4 linked regions of the Ovis aries genome follow. The main gene of each other region encodes a partner of the protein of the gene in region 2 in a complex. Links are inferred from orthologs where the notes say so. Each region holds a gene or a part of one and is shown on either strand. Other genes may lie near its edges.

What was found.
Region 1: AKAP13 (region 2) and NOD2 share a complex: the UniProt entries of both Homo sapiens proteins name them as parts of the signaling complex. The link is inferred for Ovis aries from reciprocal best matches to the Homo sapiens genes AKAP13 and NOD2.
Region 3: AKAP13 (region 2) and PKN1 share a complex: the UniProt entries of both Homo sapiens proteins name them as parts of the signaling complex. The link is inferred for Ovis aries from reciprocal best matches to the Homo sapiens genes AKAP13 and PKN1.
Region 4: AKAP13 (region 2) and MAP2K3 share a complex: the UniProt entries of both Homo sapiens proteins name them as parts of the signaling complex. The link is inferred for Ovis aries from reciprocal best matches to the Homo sapiens genes AKAP13 and MAP2K3.

What each region holds. Positions count from the first base shown.
Region 1 is NC_056067.1:18,634,847-18,639,604, reverse strand, and holds part of NOD2 (nucleotide-binding oligomerization domain-containing protein 2), read right to left. Parts: intron 2,866-4,758; coding exon 2,782-2,865; intron 777-2,781; coding exon 693-776; intron 1-692. UniProt on the Homo sapiens protein: Pattern recognition receptor (PRR) that detects bacterial peptidoglycan fragments and other danger signals and plays an important role in gastrointestinal immunity.
Region 2 is NC_056071.1:15,616,791-15,622,006, forward strand, and holds the start of AKAP13 (A-kinase anchor protein 13), read left to right. Parts: upstream 1-1,876; 5' UTR 1,877-2,068; intron 2,069-5,216. UniProt on the Homo sapiens protein: Scaffold protein that plays an important role in assembling signaling complexes downstream of several types of G protein-coupled receptors.
Region 3 is NC_056058.1:9,635,453-9,640,210, forward strand, and holds part of PKN1 (serine/threonine-protein kinase N1), read right to left. Parts: intron 3,218-4,758; coding exon 3,072-3,217; intron 2,884-3,071; coding exon 2,670-2,883; intron 1,676-2,669; coding exon 1,481-1,675; intron 1-1,480. UniProt on the Homo sapiens protein: PKC-related serine/threonine-protein kinase involved in various processes such as regulation of the intermediate filaments of the actin cytoskeleton, cell migration, tumor cell invasion and transcription regulation.
Region 4 is NC_056064.1:35,006,215-35,010,972, reverse strand, and holds part of MAP2K3 (dual specificity mitogen-activated protein kinase kinase 3), read right to left. Parts: intron 4,446-4,758; coding exon 4,379-4,445; intron 4,111-4,378; coding exon 4,062-4,110; intron 3,337-4,061; coding exon 3,223-3,336; intron 3,127-3,222; coding exon 3,007-3,126; intron 2,609-3,006; coding exon 2,492-2,608; intron 1,612-2,491; coding exon 1,560-1,611; intron 473-1,559; coding exon 345-472; intron 1-344. UniProt on the Homo sapiens protein: Dual specificity kinase. Is activated by cytokines and environmental stress in vivo. Catalyzes the concomitant phosphorylation of a threonine and a tyrosine residue in the MAP kinase p38.

The DNA.
Region 1 (4,758 bases), on a different chromosome or scaffold from region 2:
GTGCAGCAACCACTGAGCCCGCGTGCCCTAGAGCCCGTGCTCCACGACAAGAGAAGCCCCCACACTGCAACCAGAGAGCAGCCCCCGCCCTTTACAACTAGAGGAAAGCAACCCTGCACTGCAACCAGAGAGCAGCCCCCCGCTCTTTACAACTAGAGAAAAGCAACAAAGACGCAGGACAGCCTAAAGGAAACAATGATTTTTAAAAAGTGTATCTGGTCCAGAGCTTCCCCAGTGGCTCAGTGGATAAAGAATCCGCCTGCAATGCAGGAGACACAGAAGATGTGGAAGACCCAGGTTCAGTCCCTGGGTTGGGAAGATCCCCTGGAGGAGGAAATGGCAACCCATTCCAGTGTTCTTGCCTGGAGAACCCCATGGTCAGAGGAGCCTGGCGGGCTACAGTCTATGGGATCTCAAAGAGTCAGAGACGACTGAGCGACTAAACTATCTGATCCAGCCCAAGATCTTCTGAGTACAGACAGGGAATCAAGACTCCTGAGAGGAAAAGGGATCCAACGTCACCCAGCAAGACTCCGGTGTCCTGACTTCAACTCCAGTGCTCTTTCCTTCTCATCCCGTTATCTAACACAGTGGGGTGAAAATAAAGTTCACAGACCTTCAAAACTGGCCCAAGCTCCTCCCTCCTCACACTGGCTTCCCCCACCAACTGCAGGACGAACTCTGAGGCTTACCTGAGCCACCTCAAGCTCTGGTGATCACCCAAAGCTGCAGCCAAGGCCTGGGCCCCCTCGTCACCCACCTGGTTGCCCCAGAACCTGAAAGGTTCAACAGAATAAACAGTGTCAGTGAGAACCTGCTTTGTGTTCAAGACACGTGCCCCTCCTCTCTGCAGCCCCAGGCAGAGGAGCAGGACTCCCCAGTCCCAGAAAGGTCTCAGGGGGACTCAGGTCCCAGCAAAGTGAGCCTGCCTCCATCTTTTTGGAGGGATGGAAAAACTTCAATTAGACTTTTTGGTTTCTTTAAATCAGACTTTCAAAATAGTTAGAGGCCCACCCAGTGCATATTCTCAGGGATGGGGACTCATTCTCAATGCCAAGTCACAGTTGTGACATTTTCCGACATTGGGTTAGACCTGCTTGTGCTCACTGCCACCCAGGAGTCCCTCGCTATCTCTAGGACCACCCAGAAGAAGGCGAACTCTTCTTCCAAACACTAGTTCTTCATCTCTTGCTCCTCTGTTATATCCCCAGTTCCTTCAGAGCCTCCAGTTCCTTTGGAGCCTCAAGCTCCTTCACCTTCTGGCTTCTCCTCCTCAGACCCACCCTAATTGGGAAACACCCCCTTCAAAGATGGAGCCCAGCTCATACTTTGGCACCTGGCCATTTCCCATGTGGGAAGTGAGGATGGACCCGGAGGTGCCCACATGGGCAGAGAGGACTGGGATGCTCACTGCACTTTCACTCATAAGGTGAACACTTACTGAGCTCTGGCCCCATGCCAGCACCACTCTACACTCCAGGGTGTGACACTGTAATAGCAAAAACCTGCCCACAACCTAAAGTGTGCATGACACCAACTAAACACATCACGACATCAAACCACTGGAATACTGAGCAGCTATTCTTTTTAAAAGTGAGGTCATGTGATATGAACAAAATAATACAGTGTTATAATACAGTATAATAATACAGTGTTAAGAAAAAAGCAAGTTACATAACAGTTTGTATCACGTGATAGTGCTTGAGGGTTTTAGCACAAGACCAAGACCAGACAGGTACCTTCATAAACAGGTGTTGAAAGCTAAACACCCCAGATGTGATCTCAAGAAGGAAGGAGCTCAGTGGGGGCCGCGGCCACCCTCTCCTAGACTCTGTGATGCTACTAATGCATTTTGGACAAGGTCTTATCTCTCCAGCAACACAGTCCCACTCGGGGCTCAAACACAGCCCACGGGCAACTTGCCTGTCTGTAAAATGAGTTGGAACACCTAGGCTCTAAAGTCATTCTTCCTACAGTCTTGGGTTCTAAAATCCCCCCCTTTTTTTTTTTTGTTTTGTTTTGTTTTCAAATAGACCCTAGTTTACACCAGGGCAAGATGGAACAGGAAAGAAGCTCCAGGGGACTGGACAGGTACAAGCCTGTCTGCCCAGCAAACAGAGAAAGCCCCACTTGGGGCCCGGAGGTCTGTGGACTGCCCTTCCCGCCTGTGTCCGACCCCTCTCCCCTGCCTGGCATGACCCCACAGGAAGCCAGGGCTCTGTAGGACCTGGTGCAGCCTCCTCCCATCCAAGGTCCAGGGTCCAAACTTCCCCACTTCCTTCTCTCCTTGGCTCTCACCCCAGGCTGCACATCATCTGGTAAGCTTTTTTACATTACTGATTCCAGACCTTGCATGTAGATAATTCATTTAATTAGCCTGGGGCAGATAGTGGCCTTCTTCAGGAGCCCAGTGGTTCCCACATATAGACCAAGGTAAGAAACACAGCTCCAGCGCTCTGGAGGACCAGAGGGCTTCCTGCCACTGCTCTGGGCTCTGCCCTCCCCCAACCCTGACATCCTGAGCTTCCTGTTTATTGAGCAAAAAGCAAGGCAGAGGCAACAAGGGCTGCCCACGCTCTCCCTCCCCATTGCAGCCTGGGCAGGGGGTGGAGGCGAGAGTTGGGGGTGGAGGCAGGAGGGGGGGTGGAGGCGGGAGGGGGGGTGAGGGGGTGGGGGTTGTCTCGGAGATCTTGGGGCTGAAGAGTTGGTTTCACAGGCTCCTAAATCCTCACAAGCCCTCAACCCCTGCGTGCTGCCCCTCTACCCTAGAATCCCACCTACCCCAAAAACTGCAAGGAGTTGTTAGTTCTGAGACCCTGGGCGAGCACCTCGGCTCCCGCGGCTGTGATGTGGTTGTTTCCTAGCCTGGAAGGGAAGACAGAAGAGAGACTGAGACAGAGAGCGGGGCAGGAGGACCCTTACTGGGCCCCAAGACCCGGGCCTGGGGAGGGGGGTGCACAGGGAGTGTGGCCCAGGCAGAGAAACAGGGACCAGTCCTCCAGCTCCAGCTGGAGACGCGGCGTGTGCTGCTGCAGCTCGGGGGCTCACTGAATGCTCCTGCGACTTCATTTTCCACCAGCAAGGGGAGAGGCATGCAAGGGCCTGTTCTGCAAAGCGCTGTGACAGGTAGGAGCAGGAACCACGACAGTCCAGGGAGGTGGCTTCCCCAGGGAGGGAGAGTGACTCACTCCTCCACCCTCTCCTCTGACTGCGGGCGGGCGCTGGACCCTGCTTTCCTCCCGCAGCCTGCCCCATCCACGGTGGCTGCAGGTGGCATCTACCTGTTTTGAAAGTGCCTGGGGGGTGGCGCTCTGGTGGCTGAAAGAAAGAAAGGGATCCTGCTAAGCCTTCAGGCAAGGGCGGAGGAGGGGGTTTCGGCAAAATTCGGGCACCTCAGAGAGTTTCAGGGAGGTCCCCGGAACTCTCACCCACAGCTCCAGGCTTCCTGGAATAATACTGCCAGTTTCATCTTTCAAAGAAATTTCATTCACTTTAAGCTGACAGACCTCTGACCTTCCTGGGTGACCAAGGGCCCCAGCTGCTGTGCTGGCAAGTCCAGTGCTCCCTCTGCCCCAAGGCCTGCTTCCCACGGGCTGCTCCCAGCCCAGGACTGGGAGACCTGAGCCTCCTCTGTCAGGCACACTGGCTGGAGGACTCCCCAGCAGCCTCTGTCTTCTCTCCAAACTGCACTGGGGTCCAAGATGCTTCCTCCTGACAACCTTCCTTCCCTCTCTCTCTCCCTCACGGTCAGACCTGCGGCTCTCCCAGCCTCCCCCTCCAGCTCCCTTTCCCAATTTCCCCCCATAGGGATTTCCCCCAGCAAATCCTTCCTTGGAGGACTGGACAAACAGGATCAACACGCTGAGAACTTATGTGATTTATCCACCATCTCTAGGGCACTAAGTCCACTATGGAAAGAACCTGGGATACTATGCCAGCTTTCTATGTATATTAACTTGTTTAATCGTCACAGGGCTTCCGCGGCAGCTCAGCTGGTAAAGAATCTGCCTACAATGCAGGAGACTCTGGTTCAGTTCCTGGGTCAGGAAGATCCCCTGGAGAAGGGATAGGCTACCCACTCCAGTATTCTTGGGATTCCCTGGTAGCTCAGCTGGTAAAGAATTCGCCTGCAATGCAGGAGACCCTGGTTCGATCCCTGGGTTGGGAAGATCATCTAGAGAAAGGAAAGGCTACCCACTCCAGTATTCTGGCCTGGAGGATTTCATGAACTACAGTCCATGGCATCAGAAAGAGCTGGACATGACTGAGCAACTTTCACTTTCTAATCATCACAACTACCTATGAGCTATGAGCTGTAATTACTTTCTCCATTTCATAGAAGGGAAAACAGAGACACAGAAAACAGAAGTCACTGTGAGGATTCAGGTCTCAGGGATGCTGGATCCAAACCTTGGTCAGTCTGGCTCCAGGGCCCTGCTCTCAACTGAGATGCTATACTAACCCAAAACACAGACCTCTCAAGTTCTGGGAGCAGTACCTTTTGTTACCCTACAGCCCTCCCTGGAGGTTGCACCAGCCCAGCTCTGGCCACAGCCGCTCTTGGCTTCCTGAGCTGAGGGTGGCAGGTGGTGGAGGCAGAAGAGAGTCCTCAGTACAGAATGGTGCCTCTGGTGTTGGCCTCAGTGGCCCTGCCCGAGACGGAGTCAACAATTTTAAAATGGCAGCTCACCCCCAAATGCATGGAAGCAATTCTTCACTTTGAAGCTGAAACTCCAATACTTTGGCCACATGATGTGA
Region 2 (5,216 bases):
AGCTCCGGGCTCTTTCTTCTCCTCCAATCTCAGCAGGGGCGTCAGGAATGGGCCCCAACAGCCTCGGGCCTCACACCCTGTGCCATCAGGTGTTTTAATGGTGTTTAAAAAAATAAAAGTCTCTCACTGTTTCCCCCATCTATTTGCCATGAAGTGATGGGACCGGATGCCATGATCTTCAATTTTTGAATGTTGAGTTTTAAGCCAGCCTTTTCACACTCCTCTTTCACTTTCATCAAGAGGCTCTTTAGTTGTTCTTCGCTTTCTGCCATAACGGTGGTGTCATCTGCATATCTAAGGTTATTGATATTTCTCCCAGCAATCTTGATTCTAGCTTGTGCTTCATCTAGCCCAGCACTTCGCTTGATGTACTCTGCATTTAAGTTAAATAAGCAGGGTGACAATATACAGACTTGATAGTACTCCTTTCCCAATTTGGAACCAGTCTGTTGTTCCATGTGGGGTTCTACAGTTGCTTCTTGACCTGCATACAGATTTCGCAGGAGGCGTTTTCCTTCCCAGGGATTTGGGGTGGGGAAAGCTTGGGTGGGGCGAGGGCTGGTGAGAAGCCGACTGGCCGGCCTCAGATTGCTGGGGCCTAGGACAGGACGGCGCAGGGTGTGGGGCCAGAGGCGGTTGGGGCCCTTTCCTGACGCCCCCGCCGAGACTGGAGGAGAAGAAAGAGCCCGGAGCTGCAGCGATAGAGGGCCAGAGGCTCTGTCTCCCATACAAACAGGAAGTATCCACAAAATCCCCACTCTGGTAGGAACTTGACTAGATCAGGGTTTCACAAAAGATAGTCGCTTGCATCTTCACATTTTTGTGGGGCATATCGTTTGTAAGTATTTTAAGTTGATATAAAAATATGAATATGTGTAAAAGTACACTAATCTTCATTGTACACTGGATGAATTTTCACCGTCTAAGTCTATACCTTTGTTATCTACCATCCAGATCAAAATACCAAACGTACCCAGCACCCGCCCTACACTTTCCAGCCAATAATGCTTCTCTCTCTAGGTAACCACTGTTCTTGCCTTGATTACAATCAATTTGCACATCTCTGAACTTATATCAAGTTCATATAAAGTGTGTCCATTTTTTACGTAAAGTTTTTCTCTAAGTAGATTCATTTTTATCTAAGAAACAACATAAATGAAATAATCGTTTGATGTGATAGGTGTTTCTCCCCAATATACACTAAAACGCACAACTTGCAAAATGAGCTTCTTCGTGTACCAAGAGACCACATTTTGTTTCTCAAAAGCGACCAGATGATTTTTTATGTCCTTGCAACTTGAAGATTTGCGGTGAAAAGCCCAAAGTTCACGGAATACCCTGTCACAATCCCGATGCCATCATACGCCAGCGACCCATCTAACTAAAACACTTGTTGAATACCTAGCAGCGACTCTCAAAGGCACTGCGCTCCACTCTCTGGAAAAGACCCCACTTTCTGATTTCAAGGGGAGGGAAAGAGAAGAGTAAATCATCTCAGGGTGTGTTATGGTAAGTGCTGCCGCTCAGGTGAGCACCCTGACACAGAGGAAGGGCGGTTTCCGGAGTCAGGGAGCAGAGGAGAGGGTGGGTGAGCATATCAGTCGGCACCTCCACCAGCCACCCGACTTTGATCACTTCGCCGGAGCGCAGCAGCTGCCGTCAACCTCAGCCTTCCTTAGCAACCTGAGGGGCCGCCCAGGCGCCTTCCTATTAGCCGGGAGGGGTTTGATGGGCAGCTCTGCCGCGCAACCCCGGCGCGCAGCTCCTGGCGCCGCGCTCACTCACGGCGGGCTCGGAGGCGTTACCGCCCCCTGGGTGTCCCGCCCACCTCCCTAGCGGCGCGCGGCGCATGCGCGGGCGGTTTGGGGCTGTGGGCAGGGCTAGCGCCGAGCCGGAGCAGCTGCGGAGAGGCTCCTGGGCTCCGCCGAGGTCGCCGCTCCCGCTCCTCGCTTCGGCCGCCGCAGTTTCCAAGCCGCCGCCGGGGGAGCGGCCGCTTATTGTCTTTCTCCGCGGCCAAGGTGCGGAGCTGCTCCAGCTCGGCCCGCGGGGGAGCCCCGGGCACCGCACGGTGAGAGCGCGATTGAACTCGGCGGAGTTGGGGGAAGTTTTGCGGTTAGAGGAGGGGTCGCGGCGGGGATCGCGGGCCGCTCCGGGAGGGGGCGCGGGGCTGCTGGGGTGCGGCCGGGGGCGCGCGCGGGCTGGGATGCATGGGCGCGCGGGATCGCCCCCCGGCTCCCCGCGCCTCAGCCCGGGCCCCCCATCACGCATTGTCTGCCCGGGGCCGCGGCGCGCCTCGCCGCTCCCGCAGCCCAACCCCGGGGCCGCCTCCGCTCCCGGGTTGGGGGGGCGCGGCCGGTCCCGCCCGGCTGCGATGGCCCCTTCCCGCGAGGCATCCCGGCGGGGCCCGGACCTCCGGGTCGGCTCCTCCGGGAGCGGGGGCCGCAGTCGCCCCCCGCCCCCGGGAGCTGCGGCTGCTCCGCGGGTCCCACCGGTCCGGGTGCCGGCGAACAAGTGCCGAGGACTCGAGGGAGCGGCTCTCGGGGGCTGCGGCGAGCGGTAAACACGCCGGGCCGGGCCGGCCTCGCGGGGGCGCCCTGGGCGCCTGCTCCCGGGGGCGCGGCCGGGGCGCCCGCGCGGGTCGGAGACGTGCAGCCCGGGGGGGACCCGCCTTGGGACCGTGGCCTGGGCTCCGCTCTTGTCGAGTTCAAGTGCAGCCAAACTTTGAAACCAAAGAATACTTTTTTTTTTTTGGTAAATACCACTTACTGAACCCCTTTTCCTTCCCCCCTCTTCCCCCCCCACCAAAGTCAACCAGTAGGTTAAACTTTTAAATAAATATGGGGGAAGTCCTCAAGAGTTTTTCTATCAGAAGAAAGGATAGGGTTTTGTTTTTTTTTGGTAATAGTGCTTAGAACAAAATGACTCCGTAGCATTTAGTTTTCTAGATCTTAACTGTGAACTCAGAAGTTCACAAATGTAAGTTGGATTGAGCAATACTTGGTGTTCAGTCTGAGCTTTTTAACACTCCTCAGTGAAGTTATTTTGAGAGTTTGTTGCCGCAGGCATACGGAACTAAAGTAAAAAACAGTGCCTTTTTTTCTCGTTCAGCAACCCCCTCCCCCGTTTTATTTTCATAAGTGACTTTTTCTATTTTTTTTTTTTAAATCGTTGGATCCCCCAGATCAGGATAAACGCTGGAAAAATCACTTGGAAGAATCGTTTTCAGCAAGTTTGTAAAGGAACTGTGATAAATCATTGTTACAGTCCCGTAGCCTTCCGTGGTCTCTTGGGGATTTGCAGACGGCAAGCCCTGTTGTCAAGCTTTGGGTGCTTCGTTCTGCTGAATTCAGTTCATTTGGCTTATGAAGTCAGAATGATTCTGTTTAAATCCCCACGGTGGATCCAGCATAAATGTCTGTCAAATTGCGTGGTGGAAGAAAATGACCAGAATGTGTTTCTATCCATTGTTTTGTATTCCTTTGCCGTCTGTTAAATTAACAAGTAAACTTCGAACCAAACACCGTGCGGGTCAGTTTGCCTTTGGATTGGTTTCTCCTGCTGAGTGACCGATGTGAGGTGTGCCCTGGGTTTTTCTGGTTTCTTTGGCCTCATTTTGCAACTGTGTTCACCTGCCAAAGCTAAAGAAAAATGTCCTGATGGCATAAGCTTGGATTTTTGAAGTACAGCCACAAGGTTGGTTTTAGGAGTCATAATCCTTGCCCTTTGGGTTTTCCTTCCCAAAGTTGTGCAGCTTTAGATGGCTTGTATGTAGGGGGTGGGGTGGGGGCTGGGAGGAGGGGTTGACAGAGGTTGAAAGGAGTTGTCAGGGAGGGACAAAATGTAAACAAACACTGCTTAGAACCTTAAGTGACAAGCAGATCAGTTCCTCTGCCTCTCTGATAGCATGTTATACATATCTTTTTTAAGGGTTTCTTGCACTTTATTTTTTTTAAATCTTTTTTTTAGGGTTTCTTGCACTTCATTTTTTTTTGCCTAACGACTAGTTACTGCATATGTAATATAAATGGACTCCTTTTCCAGCCTGTTGACTCCGCAGGGCTGTGATGAGTCTCAGCTGTGTGCCTCTTTGCCCAGGAGTCTTAGCACAGGTGCTCAGGAGGTATTTGTATTGGGCGAAGTGGCTTGATTGGTACTTCACCCAAACATGGGACCCAGAGAACCACTGAACCTGAGGACTCGTTCACGGTGACAGCTTACTTGCAGGCCTGTAATGCGATTTACTGTACTTCATACAAGGATGTCTGACCTTTCCTGTTAACCCGTTAATTACTTCTTGAAAAGAATCGAGGTTTAAATCGTGTGCTGTGGATTTTGTAAAGTGGTTTCTGATTGGGGAAATTTCTCCCTTTTTTGTTGAAATGGCTAAGACTGCCCGGCACATCCATTCATTCACTCCCCTGCCTGTTTATACCTCTGTTGTGACCTGGGGAGGTAGCACAGTGTAGAAGAACGCACATTCTTTGGAATTAGGTAAATTTGAATTCAAATCCCCACCCTTCCGTTGATTAGGTGGGTAGCCTTGACCTGGGTAGGCAGGTCCCTTATCCCCTCTGAGCTTCGGCTTCCTACCGTGTAAGGTATAGTAACATACTTTAGAGCCTTCTTAGAAATAAATGAAGCTGTGTGATGATCGTCATAGTATGCCTGCTATCTGGTAGCTGTAATGACAGTGATTTGGGTACTTTTTTGAATGATTTAAAGCATGTTTAAAAGTCTGATGCATCTGAGCATACTGGTTTCTCTGTTTTACATAAAGAGGGAACGCTTCTCAGGACACTCAAAACCGGTGCTGTGGGACAGCCCAGAGGGATGGGGTGGGGAGGGAGGTTGGGGGGGGGATTCAGCATGGGGGACACATGTCCACCCGTAGCTGATTCATCTTGATGTGTGGCAAAAACCACCACAATATTGTAAAGCTTTCAATTAAGATAAATTAATTTTTTTTTAAAAAGAAATGCACAGTGGCTGTTGTGAAATAATATGTGGTATTCCTACTGATAGTAATATATATAATTATTTGTTATGTTTTGATTTGTTAATTCTACAAAAGTAGTGCCCCTAGTATAACAGTTAAAAAAAAAAGAGGGAATGCTTCTGGGAATTGAGTCTTAAATGCAATTTTTTAAAAGGTGAAGTTGAGCTGAACGTTAATAGAATTAGCAGTTTTATCTTCTCAATCAGTTGTTAATCTTTGA
Region 3 (4,758 bases), on a different chromosome or scaffold from region 2:
ATACTTTTACACGTGTGCATTCGTTTCTTTTCACATTGTGGTAAAACTCACATGAAATTTACCATCATTATCAAGCATACAGCTCAGTGGTACCAAGTACGTTTATACTGTTGTGCAATCATCACCACCGTTATCTCCAGAACTCTTCGTCTTTCCCATGAAACTCTGTCCCTGGTAAACAATAACTCTCCATTTCGCCTCCCCCTCAACCACTGGCAACCACTATTCTTTCCATCCCTATGAATGTAACCAACGTAGATACTTCATGTAAGTAGAATCCTACACTACTTGTCGGCTTCCCAGGTGGCTCAGTGGTGAAGAATCTGCCTGCCAATGCAGAAGGCGCAGGCACATGGGTTGAACACAGGGATTCACTCCCTGGGTTGGGAAGATCCCTCGGAGAAGGAAATGGCAACTTGCTCCAGCTTTCTTGCCTGGGAAATCCCACGGACAGAGGAGTCTGGCAGGTTACAGTTTATGGGGTTGCAAAAGAGTCGGACACAACTTAGGGACTAAACAACAACAAAAAGACAAGAAGTATCCCTCATGCTCAGCTGCTAAGTCATATCCGACTCTTTTGTGACCCCATGGACTGTAGCCCACCAGGCTTCTCTGTCCATGGGATTTCCCAGGCAAGGATACTGGAGTGGGTTGTCATTTTCTTCTCGGGGGAATCTCCCCAACTCCGGGATCAAACTCGGGTCTCCTGCACTGGCAGGCGGATTCTTTACCACTGAGCCACCGGGGAAGCCCACTTGTCATTTTACAGCTGGTTTATCTCACTGATGTACTCAAGTTCATCCATGTTGCGGCATGTTTCAGAATGTCCTTTTTTAAGGCTGAAAAATCCAGAGAATTCTATTTCTTGACCTGAGTAGTGGTAACATAGGCAGTTACTTTAGTGTTAGTCTTCTTTTACTCATACTTTTGAACGTGTGTATTCACTTCTTTTCACATTGTGGTAAAACTTGTAACATAAAATTTACCATCGTTATAGATATATTTGTCTAGAATAGAATCCATTTCTACAGAATAGACTTCTCTGGAATCCACTGTGTGGATGGACCACAATTTGTTTATCCATTCATCCATCAACAGACACTGGGTTGCTTCTGCCTTTTGACCACTGTGAATAATGCTGCTATGAACATGGGTGTATACCAAAATCTCTTTGAGATCCGGCTTCCAACTCTTTTGAGTAGGAATATTAGATCTATGGTAGTTCTATGTTCATTATGTGAGGACCTGCCATGCTGCTTTCCACGGTGGCCACACAATTTTACATTCCCACCAACAGTGTAGAAGCCTTCCAGCTTCTCCACATCCTCCCTAACACCTGTTACTTTATCTTGTTCTATTTTACAGTATCCATCCTAATGAGTGTGATGAACGACTTTTTCAGAATGTTACCGATGTGGGAAATCAGGAACCACCCCCAGCCTACCCCACCTCATCCCTCCCGGACATCAGTGCCACTCACTGGTGTTCTCGGCTTCAGCTTTGAGGCTGCTCCTGCCGCTGAGACTTCCGGTTCGGCTGTAAAGACCTCGGGCTGGGCGGCTCAGGAAGGGGGTGCGGCTGTCAGGGGTCCCAGGCCCCCCCACCGAAGGTGAAGGGTTCCAAGGGATGGTCTCTGGAAGGTCTCTGCAGCCCACCACACGCACCTCCAGGGTCCCTGAGAGAGGGGCAGGCTCATGGGGTGGGTTACATCTGGGGCAGGACAAAGGTTGCAGGTGCAGTGGGCATGTGCAGAAGTGGCCAGCGTGCAAGGGGGAGTTGGTGAGGGACAATCGGGGTGAGGCAGGGGGTCTGCTGCAGAGATGGCTGTGTCCAGAAGAGAGAAACAGGGGACAAGGGGGAGGGGTGGGGCAGTCTGGGGAAGGGCTCTAGATGCTGAGGTTTAGTGACAGAAGAGCAGTTCAGAGTGCAGGCCGGAAGTCCAGGCGGTGGTGAGCCAGGTAGGACTGGGGGGGTCCAGGGTAGGATTCGGTAGGCTAGTCTGAGATCTGACACTGGGGCTGGGGTCTATGATAGGACTGGTCTGGGGAGGTAGTGGCTGAGGGATCTAAGAAGGGAGGGGCTGGCTAGTCTGGGGGTGGGGGGGTCAGAGGTTCAGGACTGAGGATTCTGAGAGTGAGGGACTATGAGACTGAAATCGAGGACTCTGGCTGGAGAGAGCAGAAAGCCACCCCTTCACGGTGGGATGGGGAAAGTGAGGATGGGACTATTCTTGCTGTTGTTGTTTAGTCACTCAGCTGTGTCTGACTCTTTTGCGACCTCATGGACTACAGACTACCAGGCTCCTCTGTCCATGGAATTTCCCAGGCAAGAATACTAGAGTGGGTTGCCATTTCCATCTCCAGGGAATCTTCCCACCCAAGGATCAAGGATGGGGAGACAAGGGCAAGAGTCTCTGGGAGGGCAAGGTGGGGTGGGAAGTCTAGGGTCCATGGGTCTGTCTGGCGTGGGGAATGGGGCCCAGGGCTACAGGGTTGGGGTGAATGGAGAAGGGAGGGGACAGTGGGATGGGAGTCCAGGACTGGGGAGAATGAAGATCCCAGTTGCAGGTTTGGGGCTGGGGGCTCAGAGGGGCAGGAGTCTAGAGCTAGGGGGGTGGGGTCCTGATTTGGGTGGAAGCGGGGGAGGACACGGGAGGTGTAGGGACCTACCTGTGAGTGGCGCAGGCTTGCTCAGGGTGCTGTAGTGCGTGGCGGGGAACGGCCCGGCCAGGCGGGCGCTGAAGGCTGCGGAGGAAGCCGCGGCGAGCTCCTCGCGCAGCAGCCGCCCCTTCGGGTGGTCAGCGGGTAGCTCCCCAAGCCGCCGCTCCAGCGCCTCCCGAAGCAGCCCCAGCTTCTGGTTGGACTCGGTCAGCTTCTCCTGGGCCTGAGGTGGGAGAAGCCTGGCCGGGCTGGGGACGGGATCCGGCGCGCCCCTCCCCCAGGCCCGCGAGGTCCCACCTGGAGCTCCTCCCCGGAAGCCCCAGCCCTCAAATCATCTGGGTCCGACTTGAAACAGGAGTCCCCATCCCTTGCTGAAGCCCCACCTCTCCGGGTCGACGCCCCGCCCCTCACCTCGCTGACGGCTTTGCGGTCCGGAGTCTTGGCGGCGCTGAGCAGGCGCAGCACGTTCTTGGCGCCCTCGGCCACCGCGTGCTCCACTCGGAAGTGGTGACGCAGCTCCTCGATGCGCAGCTCCACTGCCCCCAGGTCCGGACTCCCTGTGGGCGTGAGACACGAGGCAGTGAGGCCAGCCTGAGCCCTGGGCTGTCTCCAACCATCCTGGTTCTAGAGACATGCAGCCATCTGTAGTAAGGGCACTGGCCAGGGACAGATAGCCGTCAACAAGCATCACTCCCTCCCAAGATAGGGGGTCATGGGGACAGTCACACTGTCACCCATGGGCAGACAGCCACACATGCACCCGGATGCTGTCACTCTTTTATCCAGACACCATCCCCCACAGAGCCAATCCCAGGGATGTAGTTAAGCTGCCACCCAGGGGCAGTCTTATATACAGACACACAACACATATTTAGGGAACTTCCCTGGTGGTCCAGCAGTTAAGAACCTGCCTTCCACTGCAGTGGATGAAGGTTTGATCCCTGGTGAGGGGACTAAGATCCCACATGCTCCGGAGCAACTAAGCCCACGTCCCTACAACTACTGAGCCTGCGCACCACAACTGGAGAGTCTGTGTACCGCAAGGAAACACCCCATATGATGCAATGAAGATCCTGTGTGCCCCAACTAAGACTCAATGCAGCCAAATAAATAAACGAAAATAAAACACACATTTAAGAACAGATACGCTGCTGACGGGAATACAAGTTGCTTTCCAACCAATGGAGGCAGTTTGGTGATTTCTGTCAGAATTATAAATGTATCTACCTTTTGATTTAGCAATCTCAGTTCAGGTACTTTATCCCACAGAAACAGCTTTGCACTTGATACGTGTTGTTTTTGTTCTTGTTTGGCCATACCATGCAGCATATGGGATCTTAGTTCCCTGACTAGGAACTGAATTGCACCCCCACCTCCCCTGCAGTGGAAGTGCAGAGTCCTAATCGCTAGACTGCCAGGAAATTTCCCTTGATATATGTATTATACGTGGTTATTCATAGCCTTTTTTTTTTAAGAGCAAAACATTGGAAGATACCTCACTTCCTCTAGTAGGGGTCTGAGTGAATGAACGGTGACCACCCACACCACGAAATACAACGTAGTTGGAGGAACAGGAATGGTGTCAGATAGATGTCATCAGACTGTCACTTAGAGGGTGACAATGGCATTGTCACTTTGTCACTAGTGTAGGCCTTAGAACACACATATCCACACACTCTTACAGAGATGCCATCACACTGCCACACACGGGTAAGACTGATATTACAGACACCGACATATACCTTGTCTGTGCTGCGCTATGTGCTATCGTTTCAGTCGTGTCCGACTCTGTGCAACCCCATGGACTGTAGCCCACCAGGTTCCTCTGTCCATGGGATTCTCCAGGCAAGAATACCGGAGTAGGGTGCCATTCCCTTCTCCAGGGGATCTTCCCAACCCAGGAATCGAACCTGCAGTTCTTACGTCTTCCGCATTGGCAGGTGGGTTCTTTACCACTAGCGCCACCTGGGAAGCCCTATGCAGCTGCTGCTGCTGCTGCTGCTAAGTCGCTTCAGTCATGTCCGACTCTGTGCGACCCCCGAGACGGCAGCCAGGCTCCCTCATCCCTGGGATTCTCCAGGCAAGAACACTGGAGTGG
Region 4 (4,758 bases), on a different chromosome or scaffold from region 2:
CCCATCCTACCTCCCCCAGAGCAAGTGTGGAAGCTGAGGCTGGTGAGGGCCGGGGTCTCGAGGTGGAAGCCTAAGTCTTGCCACACAGCTGCCACACCTGGGGGTCTCACCTTGGGGTATCAGCAACTCCCACAGGCCCCACCAGCCACCCCGCTGAGGTGAAACCTATCATCCAAATGGACACGGTGGGGCCAGTCAGAAAGGGGTGGAGAGGGCTGAGCAGGAGACTCCCTCTAGAAGGAAATTCGGGGTCTGGGGAGGCCTCATTCCTGATGGAGCAGGACACAGCTAAGGTGCCTGAGCCTGGCTGTTTCCTCTGGGCATGACCTGGGCACCCCACTTACGGCCATGTAGGGTTTGCAGCCAGCATCCATTGTCTTAGCCACAGAATCCACCAAGTAACCACTGATCCCAAAGTCACACATCTTCACGTGGCCCTCCTTGTTGATAAGGACATTGGATGGCTTCACATCTGCCAGAAGTAGGACACGCCTTTCAGCTACTGGTTGTTGGCCCCCACTGCCCAGGTCAGAGCTGGTAGCCACACAGTCAGGAGCCCCAGCCTCCAGCCACAGGTGGGGAGAGAAGTTAGCTCCAGGGCTTCCCCCAGGACCGTGTCTTTGCAGCTTCACAGTTGGGACTCAGCCTCCACTTACCAGTGCAACCTCTGGCTCTGGGGTCCACCCAAATGCAGGGAACCCATCACTAACAGTATGAGCACTGTAAACCACCCAATATCCACCTTGAGGGGTCGGCAGTCTTGGCCAGGAAGCACAAGGCAACAGCTCAAACACGGGAGGCAGGTCTGTGGGAAATCCCAGAGCCCCAGGACTCAAGCTGGACATGGAGTGGGCACAGAGTGAGCTAGGGGGCACAGCGGGGCCGTCCAGCAAGCACACGCACGGGAGACATGTGCATCCCTCCTGCCTTTTACAAGGACATCTGCAGGGGCTCAGAGAGACGCCCAAAGGGGCCACGAAAACCTGCCAATAGCAGTGACCTGGGGACCACTCAGTGGTCAAAGGGGCTTAGCCCAGTGAACTCTGTGTGGAAAAGCAGACCCCTCAGAACACAGAGGGAGGGGACAGGCAGGACACACACAGCCCCACTGAGTCTCAGAATCATTGGCCCAACTGGGAGGCTGAGAACAAGCAAAACCAACCCCCATGAGAAAATCAGTGGAGTCGGGGACTGGGGCGTCACAGGGCAAGAAAGGGAGGGGAGGGTGGGCGTGACCCAGTATAAACGATGATCGGATTCGTGCAGCAGTACACATCCCACCTGCACACTCCTCAACACGTAAACAATACGTCAAGACAAGATGGGCTGGCCTTCCCAGGATGAAGATCAACCCTGTCCGTGCTCTGAGCACCAGGGAACAAAACTGGGACTGGGCCTGGGGGCTGACAGAAATGGCTGAGAGGAGTGGACAGCGGCCTGGACCCAGCGGGCACATTGCGGCCTGTCGCCTCCCAGAGCCTTGGCACTGGTCCCGGCAGGACCATGGGGACGTGTACGTGAGGCCAGGCCCCTCCTCCCCAGCCAGTCCAGGCACTGACCTCTATGGATCACGGACAGCTTGCTGTGCAGATGTTCCAGGGCCCTCACGATCTGGTGTTTGGGATGAGAGGTGGAGAGAGACAGGTCCATCAACAGTGACAGAGCCAGAAGGCTCCCCAGCCAGGGCGGTCTGTCGCCCTCTCCCAGGTCACACCCAGCCCCTCACCACCTGAGGCTCCCGCCCACATCCCAGCCTTTGCTGTAATGTCCTGGCCACCCTGATACTGATACACCTGGTTCCTGCACTGCTCTGAATGGGCCAGGGTCTCAGGTGATGTGACCAAGACCCTGGCGAGTCTGACTTATGAACCCCCAGAATGCTGTCCCTCCCTCCACCAGACTCCTGGGTAGAATCTGGCCCTTCTGCAGCGGGCTTGCATCCACCGCCCCCTCCCCTACCAGCAGTCACTGGGCTACATGCTCAGAGCCACTCCCCACAGGAATCACCCCAAAGATCCTGACTCAACGCCCTGGGCGGGGGGGGTATGTTTACATGTTCACAGCTGCGGTCAGGGATGAGGACCACAGGTACACAGACCCCATTCCCCTTCTGCTTTGGCTGTTGGGTGCTCATGCCCAGGGAGCCGCCTGCCCTAGGACATGCAAGCTCAAGACCCGTGGTTTTCTCCCCTGACCACATGCCTCTGCGAGCTGCCTCCAAGCATCTTCAGGATAAGGAAGCTGTGAACACTAAGTTCTCTTCTGTGGCCTCAAAACTCAGGAACTGCACAGGAAGGCCCAGAGATCCTGGTTCTGCCAAATCGGTGTGGCTCCAGGGCCCTGGGGTCTCCTGAGCAGGCTCTGGTCCAGGGTGGGGGCACCTGGGGCTTCCAAGGGCAACTGCCCAGCTGCAGGGCCACAGCTGGAGGCCACACGGGGGGCCCAGCTCTGCCCAAAACACTACCATTGGGACCCCCCCAACCCCACTTACAGACACAGCGATCTCCCCAAGAATGTCTTCTGGAATCGTCATGCCCTTGTCTAGCACCTTCCGATAGAACTTGTCCAGGGACGTGTCCATGAGCTCCATGCAGATCCACACATCTCCCTGCAGGTAGATAGCCATAGTTCAGCCACATCTGCCCAGGGCTACCTGGCCCAGCATCCTCCCCATGGAGCCAGCCAGCCCCTGACACACCTCCACCCCTCAGCCCTCAGGGGTTCTCTGACCTCCCAGCCCCTCCCCGACAAGGCTCGCCTACACTGCTGGGTCCACGCGGCAGCCTTCCCCGACTGTCACACTGGCTGTCCCCCATCAGACTCCTACTTCCACGGCTCATCCCAGCTCTGACCCTGGCCGATGGGTCCCTTCACCGGCAACATACTGTCCCCACCCCCACACCCCATCCAGGACAGCCTTCTGAGAAGGCTGGGTGCAGCATCCCCTGGGGTAAGCCCGAGCTCCTGGGCTCCCTGCCAGAGGGGAGGCTGGCTGTGTCTCCTCACCTCTCTAAAGAGGGCCCCGTAGAAGGTGACGGTATAGAAACAGTCCACTGTGCGCATGTTGACATCCAGGTCCATGAGCAGGCGCTTCTGCTCCTGAGAGTTCACGGTGGCTCGGATGCGCTGCGGGGGGAGGGGCTGCGGTTAGAGCCCGGGCCGCAGGGGTGCAGCCCCAGGTGCCCCCGGCTCTGATGGCCCTGGGTCGGGGACACTGCTCACCTTCACGGCCATGATGGTGCCACTCTGGGCATGCCGCACCTTCTCCACCACCCCATAGGCACCTCGGCCCAGCTCTGAAATGGTCACCAGGTCATCCGCCTCCACCTCAAAGTTCTTAGGGGACAGAAAGGAGAGAGGGTTCAGAAGGGCCAAGTCAGGCACCAGTGGAGATGCTGGGGCAGCAGAAAGAGAATCACCAGCCAGTCACCTGTGCTCAAGTCTTGCACCAGCCACTTCTGCTGTGTGTCCTGGGGTAAGTCATGTAACCTCTCTGAGCCTCCCCTCACCTTCTCTAAAACAGGCACAGCACCCACATCAGAAGGCTACTACAGGGTGTCAGCACATCAGCCTGGGAAACACTCTCAGCGGTGCTGGGCCCTAAAGAGATGCCCTTTTCCTCTCGCCCCACCCTCTTAGGTGGCCAGACTCACTTATTCATCACCTACAGTGTGTAAGTCCCTGTTTCAGGCTCTGAGGACACAGACAGGACAAAAGAAAGGCCTTGTCTCCCAGGGAGCAGCGGGGCCCTGGTCGCCCACCCTCCCTCTTGACCTGCTGCCAGAGGAAGCAAGCAGGCAGATGAACAAGACTCGTCAGCATGTCCTGTGGGCAGCACACGGCCTCCCAGGGGAACCACTGGCGTCGGGAGGTGCCAGTGAAATGCAGGCCCTTTGGGCAGAGCCAGGGATCTGCACACTGAGCACCGTGACTCTAGCTCCCCAGGGCCCAGGAGGTAGCCACCAGATGGGCCACCTGGTCAGCGTCGGGGAGCCAGCCCCCCTCCACAGCCCAGCTCTGTCTCCACCCACAGACACCTCCCAGGGTCTATTGACACCTACCCTGTCTCCAATGGTGATGAAAGCCCGGGAGTCCAGGTTCCGGGGGAGCCTGCAGGGGAGAGCGGAGGTGTGAGCCCCAGAGAGCTCTGCCCTCTCAAGGGGGTCCCCGCCCTCCCCCACAGTCACCAAGCATCTGCGGGGCAGCACATGGCCTGTCACATGGACATGCCCTCAGAAAGGCAAGGAGAGCTCCGAGAGGACATGTGAGGCACACAGCCCCCGCAGCTGCTTGGAGAAGATGCCGCCCGCACAGGCGGCCTGGCCCCCACAGTGGCCCCTGCAGGAGGCCTTCCAGGAAGCACCAGAGGCCAACTCACGTGGGGCTGGGCGCCGGCGGCTTGGACATGCAGGAGATTCGTAAATCCTTTTTCCTCCTGGACTTTCCTAAAAGGGAGAGAAGGGAGCGTGCAGTCAATCACTGGTCAACCAACATCCCCAGGGACAGAGAGGGACAGGCCCCAAGGGCCCGGCACTGACACAGATGCCAAGGGCCACTGTGGTCAGTGCCAGGATGGGACCCCAAGGCCTCCGGGCACCCACAGGACATGTCCAGCCCAGGCTAGAGGGTCCAAGCCCCGCCGGTCATCCTGAAATAGTCACTCCACGGTCATCTGAGAAAAGACAGCACCCCCAAGGAAGATGCGCCTGCTCCCCAGCCCTCATGAGGCCCCTGCGCTCCCAGGCCTTAAGAGTGAAA